Linked DNA regions of Saccharomyces cerevisiae S288C. Changing the gene in region 2 together with the main gene of any one other region gives a genetic interaction. Each region holds a gene or a part of one and is shown on either strand. Other genes may lie near its edges.

Evidence for each region.
Region 1: mutations in YSC83 (region 2) and IRC4 together harm fitness more than expected from each alone (negative genetic interaction), as found in Saccharomyces cerevisiae (2 studies listed by BioGRID).

The regions. Positions count from the first base shown.
Region 1 is NC_001136.10:1,516,296-1,519,255, reverse strand, and holds IRC4 (Irc4p), read left to right. Parts: upstream 1-1,580; coding exon 1,581-2,120; downstream 2,121-2,960.
Region 2 is NC_001140.6:136,822-140,670, reverse strand, and holds YSC83 (Ysc83p), read right to left. Parts: upstream 1,978-3,849; coding exon 820-1,977; downstream 1-819. Other genes in the region: argininosuccinate lyase ARG4, read left to right, coding at 1-660; YSC84 (Ysc84p), read left to right, coding at 2,216-2,262, 2,431-3,790.

The DNA.
Region 1 (2,960 bases), on a different chromosome or scaffold from region 2:
AGTAGATCAGAGATCCTGCCTTTGGAATTCTGTAATTCAACATATGGAAAAATTGATGCGAAATCACAAGAGTACAGGGATAATTTGGTAATGTATCTCACTAGTTACCATTGTTTTGCTACGCGTACTATCTCGTTTCAATCACCTCTTCTATAATATTACTAAAAAATGTTCATATGTTATATGGCGTACCGATAAAGTTATTGCATTTCTCATGCGATTTTAACTTCCTTTTCAAGTCAAGGATACTTTGTGCAAGCGTAAATCCTTGCTCAATCTCCTCTGCTCAAAATGAAAAAAAAAAAAACGCAGAATCATATGCAGGATGCAATATTGCTTAAATGATTCTATATTTTGCACTTATGTGTGAAGAGTGTAATTTTTGATCTTCCATTTTAATGTTATGCACATAGAGCTGAAATTAAATGCGTCATATATAATTATTATGAGTGAGTGGATTTTGAGATAATTATTGGGAATTCATTATTGCTTGAGATAATATTATTACTTATACAGAATACACTAGAAGTGCTCCTCGGGGACATAGAGATCCATAAAAGGGAATCGATAATTCTACACATTAATCTGTTTTATTTCTTTATCTGTTTTACACGTTTTCATTCATTATCTTATTACAAAATCAGCCCTTGCGCTTCATGTTCCATTATACTCGCAGACTGTTTCTCATCATTTATCTCATCTTTAACTCCATTCAGTATATTATCTTAATAACGCGACTACTAGTAGTGAATAATGGTCAATTTTTACTTCAGAAACTTCCCTTGATTTCATTCATAGATGTTATTTCATTGTCAATTTTTACTCTTACTCACCGATTTGAATGACAGTAAAGAACTTTGCTCAATTAATATTATATTTGTTGTTATCGTCTAACGCTGTAAGTATATGGTACTATCATAAGAACCTCAGTAGTGGAATATGGTTGTTTCTTGTGCTGACATGATTCCGGATGGCCTGTAGGAAAGTATCCAAGATTTTTATTATCAGATACCGGTATGCATTCCATAATGCCAGAGTTTGCGTTCTTACGTCAAAGAACAATGATGCTACGGAGCGCAAGAAAGTGACGTGGCCAACTATCAGCGCGCTAGGATATGTATGCACTGCCGAAAGGCTGAAGCGTATCGTACATTAATTCATAAAGAGAAAGAAATCTCAACCCTGAATTTAGGATAGCGAAGTGCAATAAGAAAAACTTTACCATTGTTTTCAGGATGAATTCTATATCAGCCTGTTTATATAAACAATTTGACAATAGTGCGTAAAGCTAAAAAAGGAAGCATGCCCTTTGTTCCTTATCGGGTGGAGAGGGCCGCACTTAATCTCGAGCGGATATCAGGTACCAAAAGCCTAATTGAAGCAGGCAAATTTTTTTTCCCTATTTTCTTTTATTTGAGTGTGTACATACTAATATAAATTTGATCAAATAATGAATGCGATTAAAAATCAATATTGGCAAATGGAAAAAAATCTAATAGCGGCTAATAGTGAGACTTACATCGCTATAGATTGGTAATTAAACGAATTAAATAATAACAATTGAAAAAAAAAAAACTATCATGAGAGAATATACCAGTAAAAAAGAACTAAAGGAAGAGATTGAAAAAAAATATGAAAAATATGATGCAGAATTTGAAACAATCTCTGAATCTCAAAAAGACGAAAAAGTTGAAACAGTGGATAGAACACCCTCTGAAAACCTCTCTTATCAATTGGGCTGGGTTAATTTATTATTAGAGTGGGAAGCAAAGGAAATTGCTGGGTATAATGTGGAAACTCCTGCGCCTGGTTATAAATGGAACAATTTAGGAGGATTATACCAGTCATTTTATAAAAAATACGGAATCTACTCCATTAAGGAGCAAAGAGCCAAGCTGAGAGAGGCCGTAAACGAGGTCTATAAATGGATATCTACTTTATCTGATGATGAGCTCTTTCAAGCGGGAAATAGAAAATGGGCTACAACTAAAGCTATGTGGCCTGTGTATAAATGGATCCATATCAACACGGTTGCTCCTTTCACAAACTTTAGAGGAAAAATTAGAAAATGGAAGAGACTAGTGCCTGAAGAACAACGCATAAAAAGGAGGAAGATATAATGAGAAAGTTGTATATGGCCGTCTATTTTTTTTCTTGCAGGATTTAGAAACTACCACAGGAAAACCTTTTTTAATATCATATTTTTTGATATTATTATATTTGAGAAATGAATCTCGATTATTATGAGTCAATTTAACAAAACCTCATATAATGTACAGCAGTATAAAGACAAAACTCTCTTACGCTTACCATAGCCTCAATAACATGTCACAATACGAACTTTTTATGTTCTTCCCATATATTTTATTGTACTCTACACACACAGTATTGATCATATAGTTAATTTACCTTACTATACGCTAACCTTTAAAGCAACAAAGATATAGACGATACCATACATGAATGTCGATCAGAGACGTATGGTATAGCTTGTGTCACATTCTGCTATCGTATATGGTATACATGGCACATACTTTAAATTTTAAAGTAATGTCACTTGATTAAGATCTTTCCTATACGTCAAGGTCTCGAGATAAAACTTTATGTCTCAAATAATACATGCTAGGCATATAATGACCCATTTTCTGGAGTTGATGTACTCAAGACATTGGTTAAATATCAATCACGCATGATGATAGTGCGCCCTATTATAACCCATTTTTGTCATCGTCATCACGCTTCATCACCTGAGAAAAGTAACATACAAACTCAACGCCTACTAAGATTAATACATCAAAAACGATATCGTTGCCATGTACGTGCCCTAACTGCAGAAGAGAACTTCAACACTTGGACTAAAATTCACATGAAATTCTCCTAACATTCTAACATCGGTGACATCATTCCAAACCTCTTTGTAAAAGAATATATGAACAACATATGCATTAGAATAACGTGCC
Region 2 (3,849 bases):
ATGTTTTGGGGAACTTTGTTCATGAACCATATTTCTCGTTTTGCTGAAGATTTGATTATATATTGTACAGCAGAATTTGGTTTCATACAGTTGAGCGACGCCTATTCAACAGGTTCTTCTTTAATGCCTCAGAAGAAGAATGCAGACTCGTTAGAGTTGTTAAGAGGTAAATCCGGTAGAGTATTTGGTGATCTGACAGGATTCTTGATGAGTTTGAAGGGTATCCCATCTACTTATGATAAAGACATGCAAGAAGACAAAGAGCCACTATTCGATTGCTTAACAACTGTAGAGCACTCCATGCTGATTGCCACAGGTGTTATTTCTACCTTAACTGTAAATAAGGAAAAGATGGAAGCTGCTCTCACGATGGATATGCTAGCTACCGACTTGGCAGATTACTTGGTCAGAAAGGGTGTTCCATTCAGAGAGACTCATCACATATCTGGTGAGTGTGTCGCTACTGCTGAAAGACTTGGTCTAAGCGGTATTGATAAATTAACCTTGGAGCAGTATCAAAAGATCGATTCGAGATTCGGACAAGATCTTTTTGAAACTTTTAACTTTGAACAAAGCGTTGAAAGACGAGATGCTACTGGTGGAACCGCTAAATCTGCTGTATTGAAGCAATTGGATAATTTGAAATCCCAATTAAATTAGCAGATGGCGACGTTATGCGCAAGAATTTCATCAGGTCTGGTACTTCTAGGACTTCATCAACCCTTCTTTAAATACTTATTTTGTTATTAGTATTATATTTTCGAGATTGTGCTATGTATATATATACGTAGATAAGCAATTGTTATCTAATCAAGGATATTATTTGGATGATTTAGAAGATGACCGGCAAAAAAACGAAATAATGCTGCTATATACCTTGGCTAATCTTCCTCTCAAGCGTTTCAGGGAAAGACGTGTGTGATGGTTGAATATAAGTGAAGCAAATGGCCATGAGACTAAATAACTAAAACGGCCGCAATAATACACACTATTGTAACCTCCCAAAGTCGTTAACCAACTTAGCAGTTGTCTTAGTTTATACCCATTCGCACTCATTATCATTTTGTAAACTGGATAATGTAGGGCCTCGTGAATGTCTGAACCGGCCATTCTCAAAAATTTATAGTTCGATGGTTGTGACCCAATCTGCAGGATTCCAAGCTTGATTGTGGAAACATTTAACCTTTGATATTCCTTGAAAATTTTAAATAGTGAGTCGATTATTCCAGACGTTATAATTTCTGTACTATGATGGACTAAGTTCAGGTCCGCAGTCAAAGATGGATTGAACATAATTAGTTGGGTTTTTCTCTTCAAATGGGGTATAATGCTTAATAATGCTTGATAATACACAAATATACTTGAATGAATTTCAGATTCCAATGAGTCACATGAAATTACTCCGGATGGATGATATGATAACCTTGGCATAAACAATATGGATGCTAGCCTTGGTACATCAACAAAAAAACCCTCGAAGTCTTTTTCGCAGGTGGGATCAATGTAATATATGAAATCCTGATCTTCTTCGTGCTTCTTATAGACGTCTGCATTTTCAGTACAAATATATACTGTAAACCGTCTGCGATATAAATCCATCACTTGATTCCTTATGATAGGATCATTCATATCGCCCAGTATTAATACCACTTGAGATTCTGCTTCAGGTAAATTAGGTGGCAGTTTAAAAAAGGTCCTATACCCAAGGTATAAGCACAGGGAGGTGGCAGAAATTCCCAAGCCTAGCTTCCAATGATCCTGGAGCCCGATCCTCAAAGTTTTATATACTTTAGATCTGTTACTGTCGTTTTCCTGTAGTCGAGGAGTCTCCTTGTTGGATATCTTTCCAGATATGGATTCAATTGATTTTTCGACGTGGTTCTTGATCTCATCGCTCAAGACAGCGCTTTTCGAGACGAGCCAATACCCAGCATCAAATATCTGATCCACTATATCCTTACCACCAGACCAAGCCATTTTTATTTGTTTTTTTGAGAGCAAATATCTTCTGTTGTCTGTTTTATATTTCCTGTTTGTATGCCACCTACAACATTTTTACATGTTCCGACGCTGACCGAAAACGACCTGAAGGGAATTAAAGTTGACTACCCCCTAACTAGACCCTGTTCTTAACATTATCTATAACATGAAACTATCTTACACTTCACAGTAAAATTTTCAAGAGTAGTGGTAATATCAAATCCAAAATCCAAAAATGGGTATCAATAATCCAATTCCTCGAAGCTTGAAAAGCGAGACCAAGTATGTTCATATATATGCTTCCTGCTGCCCCTCCTCTAAACTTATGGATGCAGCTAAAATGTTCAAGATAGCTCTCTAGTCTGTGTCCATTGCTTATGGGGCATGAGTTTTCAAAAGTAATGTACTAACAACTTTATGATTGATTTATTTCGAATGTTTTAACTACAGGAAGGCCGCGAAAGTTCTAAGGAGTTTTGTTAAACCAAATCAAGTATTTGGAGCAGACCAAGTTATTCCACCATATGTGCTAAAAAGAGCTAAAGGTCTAGCAATTATCACGGTTTTAAAGGCTGGCTTCTTGTTTTCAGGGAGAGCAGGTTCTGGGGTGATTGTGGCCAGGTTAAAAGACGGTACATGGTCGGCTCCCTCTGCTATCGCTATGGCAGGTGCTGGTGCAGGTGGTATGGTCGGCGTTGAATTGACAGATTTTGTTTTTATTTTAAATTCGGAAGAGGCAGTGAGGTCCTTTTCTGAATTTGGTACAATTACTTTAGGTGGTAATGTGTCAGTTTCCGCAGGTCCTCTTGGAAGAAGTGCAGAAGCTGCAGCTTCTGCATCCACAGGTGGTGTCTCGGCAGTTTTTGCCTATTCCAAAAGCAAAGGTTTATTTGCCGGTGTGTCTGTGGAAGGTTCAGCCATCTTGGAGAGAAGGGAAGCTAATCGAAAGTTTTACGGCGATAACTGTACATCAAAGATGATTTTGTCAGGTAGAGTAAAAGTTCCACCAGCAGCAGACCCCCTACTCCGTATCTTGGAATCAAGAGCGTTCAACTTTACACGCCACGACCATGATGACAACGCTAGCGGTGATGATTTTTATGATGACGGTCAATACAGCGACAACACAAGCCATTATTACGACGATATTCCAGATTCCTTTGATTCTACTGATGAATCCTCAACACGTCCAAACACAAGATCATCAAGAAGAAGAGGAATGTCGCTGGGGTCACGCAGTCGTTATGATGATGATTATGATGATGATGGTTACGGACGTGGTCGCGGGTATGGAGATTTTGATAGCGAAGATGAAGATTATGATTACGGAAGATCTCCAAATAGAAACAGCAGCCGCAATAGAGGCCCACAGATAGATAGGGGTACTAAGCCGCGTGCGAATACCCGATGGGAAGATGATTTGTATGATAGAGATACTGAATACTCCCGTCCCAACCATTCCGGTAGGGATTATGATAATACCCGAGGAAATAGGCGTGGTTATGGTAGAGAAAGGGGTTATAGCCTTGGTCATGGCCCAACTCACCCCAGCAATATGAGCAATGTCGATGATTTATCACATAAAATGTCGAAGACAGGGTTAGGTAATGAATCCACTGCTACAAATTCGGCGACACCAACGGCTGTTGCTCTCTACAATTTTGCTGGAGAACAACCAGGCGACTTGGCTTTCAAAAAAGGTGATGTTATTACTATCTTAAAAAAATCAGATTCTCAAAATGATTGGTGGACAGGCAGGACTAACGGAAAAGAAGGAATATTCCCTGCAAACTACGTTAGAGTTTCTTAAATTATCGTCCTCCATATGTCTCGTTCCTATATATAGAATTTTTTTTTAGAGTTATGAAG